2 linked regions of the Mus musculus genome follow. The protein of the gene in region 1 interacts with the protein of each later gene in a pairwise test. Links are inferred from orthologs where the notes say so. Each region holds a gene or a part of one and is shown on either strand. Other genes may lie near its edges.

Region 1 (10,361 bases):
TTCCTTTGGTCATTGTCATTCACAGATGTTTTTTAGCCTCAGTTCCCTAACTTGGCACCTTTCTGTTTTTCTTCCAGAGTTCCGATCTGGAAAGGCTCCTATCCTCATTGCCACGGATGTAGCCTCCCGTGGGCTAGGTTTGTATAGATAGGTGTCTCTATCAGTGCTTTGTTTATCTTTTGGTTTAAAAAATTTTTTTTGTCATGTCAGATTTGCAATTGTATGTACATGAGTCTAGTTAAAAGAGGGTATAAGTGTGATTTTTTTTTTTTCCCTCCCTGCAACTTTCTTTTAACCTTCATGGGGGTTTTATTATTATTTTGGGTTTTCTGTGGTTCCCACCCCGTTTATTTTCAAAGTTCCGTCTGGCTCCTAGCAGTCTTTGGTCTGTAACAAGGCTTAGACATGACTATTAAATTACAGTTTTATGGCTGGATAGAAGGAGCCTAATTAGACCTAGCCATCAGAAGCTGGTTTCTTTAGTTTTCCCTTATACTAGTCTGTTTACTATAGAAACAGGGAGACCACTTCATGAACATTCACTCAGGGGTTTTGATTGCTCTCTATATAATGTCATTCTATTCAGTCTGCATTGCCCAGTATTACTTCAGTAATATGATTGTCAGTTATCCCTCCCTTTACCCGTTGTTTGGCCTTAGACATGTTTTCCGGTTTAGAACTTGATCTGAAGATAATCTGAAGTTTTCAACTCCTGCTTTAAAATACATACAGATAGCCAGCCTATGACACGCTGACCCAGAATGTTTACATGTATAAGGATTATCTGGGTGTGGTAATACACACCTTTGATCCCCACACTTGGGAGACAGAGGCATGGTTTCCTTAGTTTGAGGCAAACCTGGTATGCATAGTGAGTTGTAGACCAGCCAGGGCTACACTGCTAGGCTCTGTCTCCAGAAAAAGATTTCTTACAGCTAGGCATGGTAGTATATGCCTGTAAATTCCAGCACTTGGAAACCTTAGGCAAGAGATTCATTTGTTTGAGGGCAACCTACGTTAAATAGCAGGGTCTTGTTTTAGAGAGCTGGGGTGATTTCTGTTGGGAGGGAACCATTATTGATGTGTTTAATTTCCTGCTGAGTAAGGTGAGAAGTACCAAGTTTCCCTGTGCAATTTAACATAGAGATGATAAGTATTGAAATGAGTTCAGCAGTGATGGAGCCTTTTTATCCATTCAATTTTACTCCTCCTTGAGGTAGTGAGTGACCTGCAGCCATGGTGGGAAGTTGTCTCTTCCTTCCGAGGTCATCTCTGGGTCTGTGCCCTTAGAACCGGGGCCTGGGAGAGGAGGCAGAAGCCTGAAAGCAATTTACATAAAAAGCTTTCAGTAATGGTGGTTTTTAAAACAGGCTTGCTATGTGCTGGTAGCTTCTTTGTGCATCTTGCCTAGACAATTAAAAATTTGTTCTGTCCTTTTGCATATTTTAAAATCAATTGGCTACCATTAGAATAACTTAGACTCTTCATCCCACCCTCCCTCATTCAAGTGAGGGAGAGGGAAGGTGCCTGAGTCTGTTTCTTGTTACTCAACATCAGTGCTTGTTTTGGGCCCCTTTGTTTGCTGCCTTGTAAAAATCAAAAGGAGGGAGAAAACCCACCACAAATGGCAGAATTCTGACCAAGGTCCTCCAAGATCCTGGAAAGTGAAGGCTTCTACCTCAGACAGGGGTGCTATTTTCAGCTGAGTCACCAGGCCTTTTTTCACTTCTGTGGAGCGATGGTCTCTTAAATGATCCCTTCAGGTAAGTTCTTTGACTCCCATAGTTCCTAATAGTCATCTTGAGGTGACCACTGTTCCCTTTCCACTGGGATATTTTTTATTTTGCTTTTTTCTTTTTTTTCTTTTTCTTTTTTTTTCTTTTTTTGTTTAAACTACACACTGTTGAACTAAAAGTATTGAATTTATTTCATTTTGTTTTTTAACAGAAGCTTTGATATCAACTGCAGATCACTCAGTACATGGCTGAGGCAAATCTCCATTGGCCCGAAGCCACTCTAGATGAGCCTGCTGACTCTCCCAGTTAGTGAGTGGAGTTTCAGGCCATGGCATAGGGCTTTCCAAACCACATGTTCTCCCAGGCCAGGGGCCAAACATATAACTTTGCATTTCTTACCCTGCTACAGCATCGTCTATAAAGACAGCAAGATAATATTGTGGCAGTGCACCAGTAACCTCAGGGCAGCCTGGGCTGGAGAAACCCGATTCTAGGCTTGCTCTTAGGTGGCCTTCAGTCAGCTGTGCACACACAGGACACCCTTCTAGCATGAAGAACTTTTGCACCGTGTCCACCCCTTATCGAGCCCCTCCAGAAGTACTCCCAGCTGTTAGCCTCTGAAGCCCCAGTGCTTGCTGCTTGGAAAGCACGCTTCCGTGCATCCAGTGCAGTAACTCAGCGTGCTCTGTGTCCATGGCCACTCAGTGCGAGTGACTGCGGAGCATTAGTGAAGCTTGAAGAAGTGCTCATGGAGTTAACCCCCGCCCCGCCCCGCCTCACCCTTCCATCCTTGCCCCGTTATATTTTTTTCTTGTGGCATCAACGACCCAAGCCGGAGACTCAAGCTGCCCCCTGTGATAAGTGCCTTCTCGTCTTTCTGGTGTGATTCAGGACTTTAGGGGTCAGTAAAGACTGAGGAGCCTTTATCGTAATAAGAAACAGACATAATGCCCCTACTTCACATGCCCCTAACAACAGCTGAATTTTTTTAAAAATCATCTCCCCCTTACCCCTGAAATTAATCCAGTCTGGGCAATAGATGCAGTCTGACCCTTTGGATGTAACTTTTTTTTTTTTAATTTTTCTACAATCACCCCAATTACCTTGGGGAGGCGTTGGAGGACCTGAAATTTTTACCTGAACCCAGGTTCTCCGGCGCTTGGCAACCAAATGGGGCTACAGAGAAGCATCTAAGCCAGTTCACAGAGCGAGCGTGTGTGGGGACTTCTCACTGCCACGGACCCTTGATGCATGCTCCCCGCGCTCCAGTGGTCCCGTGTCAGAAGGCGGAGTTTTCGAAAGGAGGCCGCCAAATATAAAAGGCAAAGAGACGGGATCGGCTGCAGCGGTTTCCCAAAGGAGGAGGGAGTGTGCATCGGTCTGGTAACAAACAGAGAATGTTTTTTAATTATTTCTATCACAGAAATCTGTGTTTTATCTAGGATATTTTCGGAATATTCTTTGTAAAATGCAGATTTTTTTCCACCAAAAATTAGGATTCTGTTACTAAATTTGCTTGTTAAGTAGGTTAAAAAAAAAAACTACATTTAGCTGAAAGCATTACACTAACATTTGCATACTTGTAAGTTTTAGGGGTTACTCAGCCCAACTCCTAGCCATGTACAGAATATTATATGTGTGTCTCAAGGTTTCATGGTTTTCCCCACAGTCTTTGGCTATTGAATCTTCAGGTCACATAGACAATCTGATTGTTGATACAAGTACTAAGTTTCCAATAACCTTGAGTTGAGTGGAAAAAAACCTCATTTGAGAAGCTGGGCTTGGCAGTAGAGTGAAATTTTAGTGTAATGTGTTCTTGTGATTGAAAAGGGAAAGGTAATCTGGGTGTTTACACAAAGCAAAATAGGTGTGTATTTTGGCTTTGGTTTGCTTTTTAAATACAAGAGCAAGACAGAATCTAACTGTTGAGTCTGAGGATGTAGTGAGTAGATGAAGTGCCTTTCCGTGCTGCTCTGTGACTGGTCTGAAGGTAAGTTGGTTGTATTGTTGGTAGACTGTGCCAGGCTTCTCCCAACAGAGTAAAAGTGATTTGGCCCTGCACTTTAATGGTGGTTACTAAGTTCTTCTACATTCTAGCTTCGAAAGGGGGTGGCACTAGATTTTGTCATTCTGAACTCTGGTCTCAGTGTAGCTCCTGTCAGCATATCATTACAGAAGAGGCAGGAGTTTGGGGTATTGGAGGGAGCTCCCATAGGGTAATCACAAACCAAGATGCAGGGCCTGCCTGTGTCCTGAGTGGCACTGATCCTCTTTTACTCTGTTGGGATGAGTCTTTTTTTTGTACCTACTCAGGGCAGTTACTAACTTCATCTTCTCCCCTCTTGCTGTCATCTGCATTCGTGCTCTCCACCTCTTGGCATGTCTTTACCTTCTCTTTCTCTGCCACATCAACCTACACAATGTCTCCTCATTGACGTGGAAGATGTGGAAGATGTCAAGTTTGTCATCAACTACGATTATCCAAACAGCTCAGAGGATTATGTTCACCGTATTGGCCGAACGGCCCGCAGCACCAACAAGGGCACTGCCTATACTTTCTTTACCCCGGGCAACCTGAAGCAGGCTAGAGAGCTGATCAAAGTATTGGAAGAGGCCAATCAAGCCATCAATCCAAAATTGATGCAGCTTGTGGACCACAGAGGTGGCGGCGGAGGAGGGGGTAAGGGTAAGTCCTGGAATTTTCCAGGTACTGCCAAGGACTTGTAACACTAATTGTGCCATTTTTTTCTGCTGGTTTTTCTTTGTTGGTGAGTTTTTAGTTTTCCTTTTTGTTTGTTTTGTTTGGATGACAAGGCTCTTGTTTGGAGTTGGAAAGAAATTTGTGGCTTTGAATAATCTCATTTTAAGTGAAAAAGTAAGTCTGGTCATTGTGTTACTGTTAGAACCCAGTGTTCTTGTAGTTGAGGATTTAAGACCCATTATTTATTTAAATTTGGGGTTACATGGTACATGTCCAAAATTAAACTAGTAGTACATGCCTGTGAATCTTTTAGTTTGGTTTTTATTCTTTAAGACAGGGTTTCTCTGTGTAGCCCTGGCTGTTCTGGAGCTCACTTTGTAGACCAGGCTGTTCTCAAACTCAGAAATCAACCTAACAAAGCTGTCGCTGTCCAGCCAAGCTTGGGTTTTGTTTTTTCAAGACAGGGTTTTTCTGTATAGCCCTGGCTGTCCTGGAACTCACTTTGTAGACCAGACTGGCCTCGAATTCAGAGATCCGCCCGCCTCTGTCTCCTGAGTGCTGAGATTAAAGGCACGCACCACCACCGCCTGGCGGGTTTGTTTCTTTTATTTATTTGCTTGTTTTATGTATATGAGTATCTACTTGCATGCCAGAAGAGGACATTGGATCCCATTACAGATGGTTGGGAATTGAACTCAGGCCCTCTAGAGTCAGTCAGCTCAGTCAGTGCTTTACTGAGCCATTTCTCCAGCCCCAAGCCTATGTTTCTTAACACATGGAGGTAAAGCTAGGTATGTTATCTTTTTGGGACAGCTTGAGCTTCATAGCTAGACCCTGTCTCTTAAAATTTTAACATAGATAGCTAAACTGTTTTTCCTTCTTGATACCTTTGGAGAATTTGGTAATTTTACCTCATTTCATAGCATAGTATTAACCGAGGCATACAGTTGATCTACAGCTGTGTGGTACACTCAGGTTAAGTTTGGTTTTGTTATCAAGAAGACTCTAAAAGGCACCAAGTTGAGTGAAGTATTAACTTAGAGACTAGCGTTACAGATGAAGAACATGTGTTGAGTATTTCTGTGCCCCTTTATGTTCAGTTTGTTGGGATCACATACTCGGCATTTTCTTCCCACTAGGAGGCCGCTCACGATACCGGACTACTTCTTCAGCCAACAATCCCAATCTGATGTATCAGGACGAGTGTGACCGGAGGCTTCGAGGGGTCAAGGATGGTGGCCGGAGAGATTCTACAAGCTACAGGGATCGTAGTGAAACCGATAGAGCCAGTTATGCTAATGGCAGTGGCTATGGAAGCCCAAATTCTGCCTTTGGGGCACAAGCAGGCCAATACACCTATGCTCAAGGCACCTATGGGGCAGCTGCCTATGGCACCAGTGGCTACACGGCGCAGGAGTATGCTGCTGGCACTTACGGGGCGAGCAGCACTGCCTCAGCAGGGAGGAGCTCTCAGAGCTCCAGCCAGCAGTTTAGTGGGATAGGCCGATCTGGGCAGCAGCCACAGCCACTGATGTCACAGCAGTTTGCACAGCCTCCAGGAGCTACCAATATGATAGGCTACATGGGGCAGACTGCTTACCAGTACCCTCCCCCTCCCCCTCCCCCTCCTCCATCTCGCAAATGAAACTGCATGGCAGGAGTGACTCGTGCAGATGAATTACACATCTAAAGGAACACTGTCTTTTACCCTTCTAGACCTTTTCATTTTTATTTTTTCTTTTCTCAACCATTACGGTTTATCTTTTTTTAATGCAGATAGTTAAAATTTCACTGCCAGGTTTCTTCTGCCCACCCAAAAGATCCAGTCTATAATTACAGATTTTGTAAGAAAAAATATATATACACATAACTGACTGGAAAGAATTAATTTCTTTCCCCCAGCTTAATGCATGTTGAGGATATTGAGCTATTTTTCATCTTAAAGGTATTAGGCACTTTTGTTGGAGCCTGTTTATCCATGGGAGGGTGGGTAGGGAAGGAGGGACTGCTCTGCAGGAAGTGGTATCTGTTCTTTAGACTGCTCTCCTTAGGGAGGAGCCAAGAGGGATTTCCATGCACACTGCCCATGGTGGGTTTAAGTTACTGAAGTTCGATTACTCAGGCCTGATGAATTTTTAAGACTGCTTTGTTGGTCATTTGGCTGATGGCTTCTTATGTGCATTCAACAGTTAAAAATTCCTAATCGATTCTGTCATCATGCCCCCTCCCCACTTGTTCCTGCAGTTATTAAATATTAACCAGGTTAGTGTTGAGTTAGAAATTACATTTCTGAGTTCAAGCGTTGTCTTTTTAAGTTTAAAAAACTATAAAGGGTTGTTTTTACTAGGTAGACTGGCATCTGGGTAGAGGCTGCCTGGGATTTTTATCCCCACATAACCAGGGGCCATCTGAAAGTCATTTTCTAGCCAGATCAGCCACTGAGCGGTAAGCATCAGCGCTCAGCAGAGCCTTCCGAGCAGCATTTAGAAAGCACCTTTGGGAATGATGGACTGCAAGGGAGTGGGCGGATCTTCCTCTTAAACAGTATTCTTAGAGTAGGATTGACCTCATGGGCTGCTCTGCCCACTTGGTCAGGCTCTCCTGAGCAGGACTGCTAAAGAGCTTGCCTCCTCAAAGCCTGGTCTCTGAGGTGCTTTCTAACAGCTGGAGGCACTTGTTCTGGGCTTTCCTTTGCCCTCAGTTTTTCACAGGTAGGTAGTAGCCATGGAGGGCTGAAGCCCAGGCTCTCCTTACTCTCTGGAGTGTGAAGGTAGGGGTGAGCTCGTCTCACCCCTTTATTAAATGCTCCTGGAACTTGGAAGAGCAGCAGATGAAGTTGGAAAGAAAATTCTGCTCTTATCACCTAAACAGGACAGGAGAGCAGATGCCCCAGCGCCTCTAGTAGATGGTAGTGGTGGGGCTAGTGTGTGGCTGTTACCTGGGCCGCTCAAATTCATTCCAGGGAGGAGGCTCCACTGCATTCTTTGGCTGTGCCCTGAGGGTGCCTGCTCCTTTGTACGGTAACAGTCAATTTTGAGGTTTCTTTCAGGAAGAGAAAGGGATGGTTTTGAGGGGCTCAGAAAATAGGATTCAGTGTGTAACATAACAGGTAGGTTGTCAGCATGCTTGGCATTCTTCTGTTTTCCTTACCGTTTTACAGACTATGAAGCTGAGGGGGGATGGTAGGCACAGATGTGTGGCAACCCTGCTCTGTGCTCTGAAACCAAAGTGTGTCCTGTCTTGTCTGTCTCTCACCCTGCCAAAAGCAAGTGTCTAATCACTGATGCTGACCAGCCTGTTACAGATACTTTCTACAACCAAATTCAGATTTATTTTTTATTAAGCATTATACCATGGGCTGTCCTGTGCTCCTGTCACTCTTCAAAAACACCCCTTCTATTACTGCCTCCGGGGATGAAGCAGTAGCTAGGTTGCTTAACCTCCCCTCTCCAGCAGAGGCATAATCCAGATAAGTAGCAGATGTCATATTTCATAAGCTCTTTTGGCCTGGGTACAGCAGAAAACTAGCAGTTTTCCTACTTGGCGCAAGTGACTTGTGCCTCCTTGTCTGTCCTTTGTCAGCACAGGTGCAGGCAAACCCTTCCAGCTGGGTTAATTGCCGTTTATGGTTTACTCACTTAGGGAAAGGGCTTAGGTGTTAGGCTGTGGGCTGCTTCTCCCTAACCATCCATTGTGCAGACTTCTCATCTAAAAAGGTTGGTGGCTTTTGCTTGGGATCAGTGCTCTGCTAACGCCCTTGCTGGTCTCTCCACACATTCCTGTCATTGAGACTTGAATTGTAGGTGTGATGTTATGCACAGGATGCTCAGAGCTATGTTACTACTATTCTTAGTTTGTAAATTGTCCTTTTGATACCATCTTGTTTTCTTTTGTAGGTATAAATAAATACTTGACAATAAAGGTGTGAATTTTTTATTACATTAAAACTTAAAAAGAGTTTAAGTGTACTCTTAATGTTTTCCTCCAAGCAGTGAAAACATTAAGCAGGGTGAGTGTATTAGGCATTCTATTTAGCACCTCAGGCTGGGAGGGGAAGGCTACATTGGTGGTTCTTAGCACAGAATGGATTTACACAGTGGCCATGGTGTCCATCTCAGCTAACAAGTGAGCTAAGCAGTCCTAAGCACTTGGCAGAGCTGGTTATTTGGACTGCTTACAGCTTGCAGGCCAGGTGGACATGTGGCTCGAGTTCAGCACGCTGACCTAGGGAGGTTCTCTGAATGGATCTTCCCAGCCCTGGGCATGAGTTGTATAGTCCTAAGGAAGCAAGGAGTTGAGCCACTCACGGAGGTATCTACTGCTTCTCTTCACTTGGCACTTGTAGGGCACCATCCTTGGGCAGATGGGCTAGGTATCCCATTCTATCCATGGTGGATTAGGGAGGTGCTGCCGTTTATCCCAAGATGGTGCTTTGCTCAAATTCACACCAGTCACTCTAACATGAAGTCCCAAGTCTTGGCTTGAAGTCATGAAGCAGTGATCCGGATGGTTTGCTTTAGCTGCCATAGGGGTGGCCCTTCTCTTCAAACTGGCACCGGGAGGCTTAATTTCTTTCCTTTAAGGACTAAGGAAAAAAAGATAAAATTTTACTATGTGTTGTACTTAAAGAAGAATTCCTGCCCCCCTCCCTCCACTTTAGCTGGCCTTGAACTGGAGATCGCCTGCCTTTGCCTCCCTTGTTACTTGTTGCGGGTCACCCGTGGGGTTTATGCTGTTTCCCCCCACTTTGGTTACTGGTGTTCTTACATCATTTTAGATGAGTATGTCTACTCCATTCCCATAGCCTGTGTCTATCCATCCCAACCCTGTTTTTAAACTGCCCTGATTAGTCTCTGCATGGTGGCTGCTGGGCATGGTGACACAATAACAAACCCCATAACCTAGATCCCTGGGGTTCTGTGTGAACTTAGTTTCCTTGCGTTTCAAGGTCTACTACTGCTAACAGCTGCTTCGGGGCTTTTGGAGATTGAGGTTTTCCCAACCAAGTTTGTCAGAAGTCCTCAGTTTTCCTGTCTGTGCACGTTGCTGATTGCTATTGGTCTGTGCCTCCCCAGATCCAAATAAGCTCCAGAGGGATGAACCTTGGCTCTGCCTCAGACCAGTTGGAGTAAGTCTGGCCCTCAGGGAGTGACACTGTTGGGAGGCCTTGGAGGACTCCTAGTGTTCAAAACTCCCGGACAAACACATGAAACGGCTTTCTCCTGGCAGGAGCACTCCTCCCTCTGGAATCAAAACTTGTAGGCCAATCGAAAACAGGAAGCAAACATTTTCCTAGTGGGTTACTAAATGGAACTACTCCCTTCTCCACCCCTTGATTCCTGGACCCATGGATCCTAGTTATAGGAGAAACTCTACCGTGTATCAGACACTGATTCAAAGCATATGTTGCCTTCAGTAGATACCTGCCCCAGCCTTCAACGCCTGGCTCTACACAGTGCTACATTTCCTCCAACAAGGGCATACCTATTCTATAAAGGACATGCCTAATAGTGTCACTACCTGTGGGCCAAACATTCAAACAGGTATGTTTACGGAGGCTAAACCTATTCAAACTTATACAAGTACCAGACATAAGAGTGCACAGTGACCAGCACTCAGGAGGCAGAGGCAGGCAGATTTCTGAGTTCCAGGACAGCCAGGGCTATACAGAGAAACCCTGTCTTGAAAGAAAGAGAGAGAAAGCAAGCAAGCACCGTGACACAGGACCAGTGCCTACCTTTGGTCACATACAAGTAGAAGAAGTCACAGTAAAAGATGGTTTGAACAACTCCAGACACTACTGAGATCTGGTCATAGAAGTTCTCTGTCTGGTACCGCCTGATCCAGTTGGCCAGATAGAGGAGCCGATAGAGCCCCAGGAAGAACAGGTAGTGAGTGGTGATGGTCTCAGCCTCTCCGGTCTT
Region 2 (9,392 bases), on another chromosome or scaffold:
CCCTTTGCCAGACATGCCGCATGCTCCTTCCAACATCTTGATCCAGGACATTCCTCTTCCTGGTGCACAGCCCCCCTCCATCCTGAAGAAAACCTCAGCGTATGGGTAAGGAAGCCTTACATAATGGAGGGTGGACTGCAGGAGCAGGCCCGGCTAGCACAGCAGCAGCACGGGGTGCTGTGGCTGAGCGGACGGGACATGAGAGCCTGGAGAAGGTTCCTGCCACTCAGCGCCACTGTCCTTCTCCCCCTCCACAGGCCTCCAGCTCGGGCCGTGTCTATCCTTCCTCTCCTGGGACATGGTGTTCCCCGCTTGCCCCCTGGCAGAAAACCGCCCGGCCCTCCACCTGGCCCCCCTCCTCCTCAGGTTCTGCAGATGTACGGCCGGAAAGTGGGCTTCGCTCTAGATCTTCCCCCTCGGAGGCGAGATGAGGACATGCTGTATAGTCCAGAGCTTGGTAGGCAGGGGCAGGGGTTTCCTCCCGTGCCCTTCTCAGTATTGCTTCCATGCTGACCATAGTTAACGTTTGCTACACGGAGAACACAGGAACGCCATGAGGATGCTGTGCTCTTCTGCTGTGTGTCCCTGTGGATAATTTAGCACATCTGCCTGATGAAAGCACCTTAGATAGAATGTTGCTGCAGTTCCCATAAGACAGGAAGAGGTCTTCTCAGTTTCATCAGCGCTGACAAGAGTCACTGACTGTGTGTGAGACTTTACACAATTGTTTCTAATACAGTGTGTTTGCACTTCTTACAAGAAAACAAAAAAGTATTTAAAACTATTACCCAACGCAAATGTCATCATAATACATGGTAGCTGGCATTGCATATAGAAATGTTTTGCAAGTAATGTTGAGCCAAAATGGCATGCCTATTTTTGGATACCAGAGGGCCAACCGTGTCATGTGACTCTCGTGCTCTTTCTGTCATCAGCTCAGCGGGGTCATGACGATGACATGTCCAGCACCAGTGAAGACGACGGCTATCCTGAGGACATGGATCAGGATAAGCATGATGACAGTACTGAGGACAGTGACACTGACAGGTCAGATGCAGAGAGTGACGGGGATGAGTTCGGGCACCGCGAGGACAGTGAGCGCGACAACACTGAGGAGAAGAAGTCAGGTGTGTGCGGGTTAATGTGCCGGGCGTAGATGAACACCGCTGACCCCGGTGCTGAAAGCCCTGGCTTTTGTTAATTAGGTTCAGTGTGTGCGCGCCCGAGTGTACATGCGTGCTAGAGCATCTATGTGGCAGTCCCAGTTGGTTTTCCCGATCCACTGCACAGGGGGTGGGGATGCAGCTTGGGTGATTAGGTTTGGTGAGCCAGCTCACCAGTTCAGGACCAGCTTTTAGCTCCAGTTTGGTTTGGCTTGGTTTTGAGACGGGTGTCTATCACTGTTAATTAGGCTGGCCTCGAGCTCATGGTGACCCTCCTGCTTCAGCCTCCCAAGTTGTGGAGTTAGAAATAAATATAAGCCACCGTACCTGGCCATTTATTTGTCTTGATAGTTTGAAAGGTTTTGACATATTATTCTTACAGGTGTTTGTGAGGAAAGAGTAAGTATATGTAGTTTTTTAAAAGTTATGCAAGAAATTCCACTTTGAGGCAAAAATTGCTAATATACTCTATGATGAACGTGCAGTAGGAAAGGAAGAACATGCATGGTTTTAAATAAGCTTGTGTGCGTGTCTACACTGGGAGCTGGGTTTTCTGTTCTTCATGGGGCCTTTCATAAACTGGGTGACCTTTGTAATTCATATATACTTGTAATTTTATATATAATATATGTGTGTGTATATTATATATTAAATATTTTATATACATATATGTGTCTATACACACATTACATTAACATGTATAATTATATACTATGTATATGTATAAAAGTGTATTTTTCTATATGTCTGCACTGTATTTGTATTTAGAACCATACGCCTGTTCCTTCAAAGCTGGTCACTGGTTGGGAAAGCACCTGTGTAGCGCACTTGGCCTGCATGTAAACAAACCGTTCTCCAAGGGTCAGCTGTGAAGCACCGTTCAGAAAGATGTGTGTGTGTGTGTGTGTGTGTGTGTGTGTAGTGCTGGGGAGTAAGCCTAAGACTTGATGTATATTAAATATATTCAGTTCTGCTGTGTCCTCAATTGTGTGCACACTGTATGTTACGTTTTGTCACAAAAATTTTAAGCACTGTGTTTGGGTACTAAGCAGTGCCAAGCACACACTGAGTGTGTCAGAGCCTAGTAGCCGGGGAGCTTCTTAGGGGCTGTAGCTGTAGTCTCCAGGACGGCATCTGTATACTGTGGTTTTATTTATAAGATCAGCAAGTGACTCTCTTTTTTTTTTAATTGTGTGTGTCTGTGTGCCTCCTACACTTGCGTGTGCCTTGGAGACTACACGGCACTAGATCCCTCAGAGCTGGGTTGTCCAGAGCCCTCTGGAATGCATTAGTGCTCCTTAATCATGATTACGAATGAAAGAAAAGCTTATCAAAAAACTATCATAAATTGGTGTAGGAGCAAGCCTGATCTTGGAAAATTATAGAAGACTCATAAGTTGGAACTGGTCTTAGAAAGGAGAGTGGGGTAGAACTCCAAGTGCAGGACTCCCCTGTAAGACTGCATCCTCTCTCTACTCTGCGGCTGCCAGCTGCTGCTGAGGTCCTGGGGGGTGGCGCTGGGACAGGGTCTTCTGTGTAGCCTTGGCTAGCACAGGACTTACTGACTGGCCTTGAACTGACTGAAGTCCACCTGCTGCTTCCTACTGAACGTTGTGTTCCCCAGTGTGTGTGGACCTCAGATGGCTGGCCCAGCTGCACGTCCTCTCATCTGCTACTGCCTTTACCATAGCCAGGCATTTTTCTGGGCAGTAAAAGTCCAAGATACACTAAAGCTGAACCCACATAGAAATAAATATTCCCTTCCTTAAGTGTTGGCTAAGATGTCAGACACCAGATCAGAAGTGCAGTATCTGTCAGGGTTACTGAAAGATTCTGTAGTGGAAGTGGTGTTGGGGACCGATCATAATCTTTAATCACCTGTTAGAGTATTACTAAGATTTTCCCACCTTTTATGGGGCCTTTTGTCATGATTAGATTACTAATTTTCTAGTGTAAACCATTGGGTACTTTTGGTGCACCCTGCATGCTATGATCGATTTTCCTTACCCAGCACTGTCAGACTCAGTTGTGTTATATTTTATGTTGGTTAATAGGGTATGCTGGTTTCCTGAGTTGGTCAGCTTTCATCTTTTCTGTGACTTACTGTTTTGCTGAATTGCTAAAGAAAATTGTTGCTTTAAGATACATCTTTACCGTTTCAGCTTTTATGTTTAGGGCTTAAAATTGAATTATCTAATTCAGTTTATATACTTCTTAAGTATCCTAACATTTTCTGAACATTAAGTTTTAAGTTAATGCAGTATATTTCATAAGCAACCAATTAGCACAACGCTGATTTCCTGTAATGTCCCTGTACATCTGCCTTGTATCGTGTAATGGGTTACAGTCATTCATAGTACTTACAGCGTCTGCTCTATGGTGACCATTTTTACAACATTTGATGATTCTTTCCCGTTTCATCCTTTCTTGACTGTTTAGGTCTAAGCGTCAGATTTGCTGATATGCCTGGGAAATCAAGGAAGAAGAAGAAAAACATGAAGGAGCTGACTCCTCTTCAAGCCATGATGCTGCGAATGGCAGGTTAGAAGCAAGAAGGAATGGATCTCTAGCATTTCCTTGTGCCACTTGCTTAGCATATAGTCTTCCATTTATAGTCAGCAGCTCTGAAATAAGCCAGGAATCTGTATTCTGTGAAACTTAAGATATGGAGCCATTTGGTGGGGTGCCCAGAGTTTTGGGGCTAGTGAGCCGCTGAGACAACTCGTTCTGGGAGGCTGTGCAGCATCTGCTCTTGAGCTGGCATATGGAGCCTGTGGGAGTCAGCTTTTCTGTGGCTGCTGCTGGGTCTCAGGAATTGAGCTCTGGTTGTCAGGCTCATTAGCAAGCCCTCTTGCAGCCCTGAGTGCTATTTAATTCCAAGTCTGTCTTGTCTGACAGCCTGGGATTTATACTGCTGTACTAGTTAAAGATGCACCGTTGTGTATTTCAATAGTCGGTAAAAAGACTTGGATTGTTGATTTTTTAAGAATAAATTTTCTTATTTTTATTTACTTATTTATTTATTTGGTTTTGGGAGACAGGGTCTACCTGTGTAACCCTGCTGTCCTGGAACTTACTATGTAGACTAAGCCGACTGTGAAGTCAGGTCATCTTGCACTTGTCCCAAGTGCTGGATTAAAGGCATGTGCCACCACACCCAGCTGTGGTGTACTCTTGGCCACTGCTGTTCTCCAAGCGGTAAAACAGAAATCAGCTATTTTTCCATTTTTCAGGTCAGGAAATCCCTGAGGAAGGACGGGAAGTGGAGGAATTTTCAGAGGAGGAGGATGCCGACGACTCGGATGATTCTGAAGCCGAGAAGCAGTCGCAGAAGCAGCATAAAGACGATGGCCACTCTGACAGCACGGCTGCAGCCTCTTCCCAGCAGCAGGCTCCTCCACAGTCTGCTCCTGCTTCTCAGATACAAGCCCCTCCCATGCCAGGACCACCACCTCTTGGACCACCACCTGCCCCACCCTTACGGCCTCCTGGACCACCTACAGGCCTTCCTCCTGGGCCGCCTCCAGGTAAGCACCCCCAGGGCGAGGAGCGCGAGCTCTGAGCCGGAGTGAGGGGGGCGAGGAGCGCGTGCTCTGAGCCGGGGTGAGGGGGGCGAGGAGCGCGTGCTCTGAGCCAGGGTGAGGGGGGCGAGGAGCGCGTGCTCTGAGCCGGAGTGAGGGGGGCGAGGAGCGCGAGCTCTGAGCCAGGGTGAGGGGGGCGAGGAGCGCGTGCTCTGAGCCGGGGTGAGGGGGGCGAGGAGCGCGTGCTCTGAGCCGGGGTGAGGGATCCTTCAGAACAATGTGTGTCGTCAGTCAGCACTGAGGCTTTCGGTTGAGGCTTCCAAGGGAAGGAAGACCCTTCCAGTCTGTGAGCATCGTTAGCAGCTCGGAGTTCTTACAGTCGCCTCTTCTTAAGGATCTCTTATTTCTGGTTTTGTAAGCTGGACACTTGTGCATAGTTGTACTTTGTTTAGTACTTTATTGTGACAGACTAGCCCAGCCCTGCATTGGTGTTGCTTAATACAGTCTCACGTACCACAGCTGGGACCTAGAAGGACCAGATGGACCGAACTATAACGGACCTGATGGCCTTTTTATAGAGCTCAAATATATGTTGAATGAGTTTTATTTCCATTGCTTTTTATTTAAATGCCATCTCACTTCTGAATAAAATGATTATGTGAGTCGCTTTTATACCACAAATATTTATCTGACTGACATTGGTTTTCTTCTTTCAGGGGCTCCTCCATTCCTGAGACCACCTGGAATGCCAGGAATCCGAGGGCCTTTACCACGACTTTTACCTCCAGGACCACCACCAGGCCGACCTCCTGGCCCTCCCCCAGGCCCACCTCCAGGTCTGCCCCCTGGACCCCCTCCTCGGGGACCCCCACCAAGGCTACCTCCTCCTGCACCTCCAGGTAAAGTTTTTCAGTGTGACAAGAGCTAGGCATGGCTGTACGCTCGGTGGGTCTCTGAGGACATCTAGCAGAGGGTCTGCAGGAAAGTGTGTTCTGCACGAGCCTTTCCGTTGCTTTCCACTCATCCCTTGAGGCTGGCAACAGTGAGCAGGTTCTCTGTCTGAGCTGTGTGAGAACAGGCACAGCTGCGCCCCATGCTCTACACAATTACCATCTTCAAGTTAGATCACAAGAGAGCCTCCCTCCTCTCTACCCATTGTCCGAGTTAGTCCTGCAAATGTCATAATGGGATTTTTTGGCTAAGCACACTGAATGTTCTACTGTGTCCGAAGATTGCTTTTAAAACACAACAGCTGGGGCTTTGTCTTTGTCTTGGTTTTGTGTAGGAAAACTGAGTTTACGTAATCAGTTCTGACTGGATGCAGGTTTGATTCTTACGTGGCATTTGAAGAAACCACAATCTGATGCGGGATATGTATGAGTTGCAGCTGTCAGAATTACGTAACCCTGAAAAGACTGACCATAGTCTGCCCATTTCCAGTGACTGAGCAGGACAGAATCCTTCCCTGTCCCCTGTGTGAACGTGGTAGAAACTAACTAGTACTCAGGAATCGACTGCCCCTTGATCTTAATAACTTCACACCAGACAGCCAGGACAGGATAGGATAGCATCCTGGACCTTCCAGATTGGAAACTGCATCTGCCACCAGTTGGCATTGTCAGCTTGATGGTACAGTTTTCAACTGGGACCTGAGTTCAGGGATCAAGACTAAAGGCAGATGTAACTTCAAAGTATTATGTTTCTTTCTATCAGAATATATTTCTGCCTTTCACATAGCAGGTTGTGTGAGTTCAATTTAATTCCTGTAAATAACTTGCCTAAAAAGCAGTCTTAGCCTATGTCTAAACTTCCTTTTTTTTTTTAAAGATTTATTTATTTATTTATTTATTTATTTATTTATTTATTTATTTATTTATTTATTTATTTATTTATTGTAAGTACACTGTAGATGTCTGTCCTCAGACCCTCCAGAAGAGGGAGTCAGATCTCATTACGGATGGTTGTGAGCCACCATGTGGTTACTAGGATTTGAACTCCTGACCTTCGGAAGAGCAGTCGGGTGCTCTTACCCACTGAGCCATCTCACCAGCCCCCTAAACTTCCTTTTTTTAAAAGATTTGTTTATTTATTTTATGTATATGTGAGTACACTGTCACTGTCTTGACACAGCAGAAGAGGTCCCATTACAGATGGTTGCGAGTCACCACGTGGTTGCTGGGAATCAACCTTCAGAAGAGCAGCCAGTGCTCTTAACCACTGAGCCATCCCTGTAGCCCATGTCTAAACATCCTTAGTGGCAGTTAAATGTCGCCAATTCTTGTACTCATCCTCTCTCCTCTTCCTTTAGGTATCCCTCCTCCTCGTCCTGGCATGATGCGCCCACCCTTGGTTCCTCCTCTTGGACCTGCCCCGCCTGGCCTTTTCCCACCAGCTCCCTTGCCCAACCCAGGGGTGTTGAGTGCCCCACCCAGCCTCATTCAGCGACCGAAGGCGGATGATGCAAGTGCCGCCACCATCGAGAAGAAAGCCACAGCGACCATCAGTGCCAAGCCCCAGATCACCAATCCCAAGGCAGAGGTCACACGGTTTGTGCCCACTGCACTGAGGGTACGCCGAGAGAATAAGGGGGCTACTGCTGTTCCCCAAAGAAGGTCAGAGGATGACTCTGCTGTGCCTGTTGCCAAAGCAGCCCCGAGATCTGGTCCTTCAGTTGCTGTCTCAGTACAAACTAAGGACGATGTTTATGAAGCCTTTATGAAAGAGATGGAAGGGCTGCTGTGACAGGGCCTCCTGCCAGGACAGGCTTCTGTTCAGAGTACTGGTTTGTGGAACAAGAGGCTCTTATTACAGTGAAGAGCAATGTCCACTGTCAGGTGTTTTCCAAGTCCAGTTCCAGGAGCCTCCTCATGTTTGCCTGCTGGGATCCCTGCACAAGGTGTTTCTTTACAATAGACCAGGATGTGAAGCACTGCTGCTAACCCCTGCTCCCTGTGACATCACCATCTCCTCCCTCTCTTCCTCTCTCCATTTTGGGAATTCTGTCAGCGAGGTCTTAGTTACTTGTTTTTGACTCATGTGCCGTGGGCACTAGAGTAGAGAATTCTGGAGGAAAAAAGTTTATTTCATCTTGACTTTTGTGTTTGAGTTATTTTTAATATTTTCCTGTAAATATTTTGTAATATTTTCCTTGTAGTGAAATGGATTACAGTATCATTTCCTAATTCAAAACAGGATATGTGGGAAGAAAATATACAATTCTGGGATTAAAGTTACTTCCCACAAGCTAAACTCTTTTGAGTGTTTCATGGACAAATAAAATGTTCCATACCAAGATACCTTCTGTGTTTGTGTAATGTGTAAACAGTTCATCTGGCTGGTGGGCAGAAACAAACAAGTTTGTAGTTTGGTTCTCAGGAACTGCCATTTCTCATGCAGAATGAGAATGGATTTTATTAGAATGTAAAAGGTAACTTTGAAATCTACAGGGATAAAGAGGAAGAATTCCTTCAAGATTATATTGACTTCCCAGAACGTCAGAGGGGTGCACAATGTCTCCACTTTGACTGCTAGGATGGGGGACTCCAGAGGACACAGAGCTGTGGGGGTGGTGGTGTGTGAAAGTTCCCAAGGCTCATATACGTGGACGTGGTTTTCCCCAGTTGGTGGCACTGTTGGGGAAGCTTGAGAGCCTGGCTTTGTTGGAAGAAGTACATCCTGGAGGCAGGCCTTGAGAGTTGGAAAGACTCCTTCTCCAGTTCTGGTCTGTGCCTGCTGCCGTGCATTTCCTACAGTCATGTGCATTGTGTTATGCAAGGCACACCTTAGCTGGCCTGCATCTCATGCAAATCCTAGAGCATTAAAGATGTGTTGAAAGATGCTGAGGCTAATGCTTTCCTAGTCCTCATGCATTTCAGGTTCTCCTTGAGATTTTGTATGTCTGCTTCTGTTACTCTGACAGATTAAGTCATCCTTACAAAACACAAAATTGTCCATTTGGTTTGGGGTTTTAGTGTAATTAAGTAAAGTCCAATGAATTTGATCATTTTTCATACAAAAGAAACAATTACATCATCCAGCTGGCATGGTAATTTCTGCATAAACAATTGCTCTCCAGTTTGGTCGGAGTTGATTCTTTTTTAGTATTCTTGACTGAAGAGTTACGTTCTTTTGGAGGGAGATTTCTGTCACTGGTTCTCTGAAAAAGCTTTTGATTATCAAAACATTTCCAAGTGTGCTGCTAGTTTTATTTGAAAATTGTATTCATAAAGCCTAACACTGAATCTATTAATTCCATCTGTAGGAAAGGAGGAAGGCCACCAAATCTGATTTGGTTTCTTACATGACCACTACATACCTTTGCTTGGATGTGGATTAGAGAGGGCTCACAGGTTCACAGGCTCACATTCAGCTCACCTTTCTACATGGGAAACTTAGTGTCCTCATTTGCATTACCAGACTCTCCTCAAAACCCATTGACTTTACCTGGAGATGCAAATTCTATTCAGCCCAGAAACAGCAGACCAAAGAAAGGATCCCTCCACTTCCATCTTGGTGAGCCAATGAATTGTGAATTGTTGACGTTACTTAAGAGCATGGTGAGAGATACCCTAGTTGGCTCTCTACTGCTGAGGTAAACACCAAGGCCAAAAACAACTTGCAGAAGAAAGGGTTGATTTGTCCTGCAGCTCAAAGTCCATCCTGAAGGGAAGATAGGAACGGAAGCCATGGAGGGGTGCTGCTTACTGGC

Evidence for each region.
Region 2: the proteins of Ddx17 (region 1) and Wbp11 interact in a two-hybrid assay, tested with the Homo sapiens proteins (3 studies listed by BioGRID and IntAct). The link is inferred for Mus musculus from reciprocal best matches to the Homo sapiens genes DDX17 and WBP11.

What each region holds. Positions count from the first base shown.
Region 1 is NC_000081.6:79,525,733-79,536,093, reverse strand, and holds the end of Ddx17 (probable ATP-dependent RNA helicase DDX17), read left to right. Parts: intron 1-77; coding exon 78-137; coding exon of another isoform or gene 138-151; exon of another isoform or gene 152-3,119; intron 3,120-3,176; exon of another isoform or gene 3,177-4,115; coding exon of another isoform or gene 4,116-4,179; coding exon 4,180-4,416; coding exon of another isoform or gene 4,417-4,422; intron 4,423-5,576; coding exon 5,577-6,082; 3' UTR 6,083-8,398; downstream 8,399-10,361. Other genes in the region: Kdelr3 (ER lumen protein-retaining receptor 3), read right to left, coding at 8,982-9,022, 10,175-10,361. UniProt on the Homo sapiens protein: As an RNA helicase, unwinds RNA and alters RNA structures through ATP binding and hydrolysis.
Region 2 is NC_000072.6:136,812,242-136,821,633, reverse strand, and holds the end of Wbp11 (WW domain-binding protein 11), read left to right. Parts: coding exon 1-105; intron 106-257; coding exon 258-457; intron 458-935; coding exon 936-1,127; intron 1,128-3,602; coding exon 3,603-3,704; intron 3,705-4,396; coding exon 4,397-4,690; intron 4,691-5,400; coding exon 5,401-5,583; intron 5,584-6,992; coding exon 6,993-7,426; 3' UTR 7,427-7,980; downstream 7,981-9,392. UniProt on the Homo sapiens protein: Activates pre-mRNA splicing. May inhibit PP1 phosphatase activity.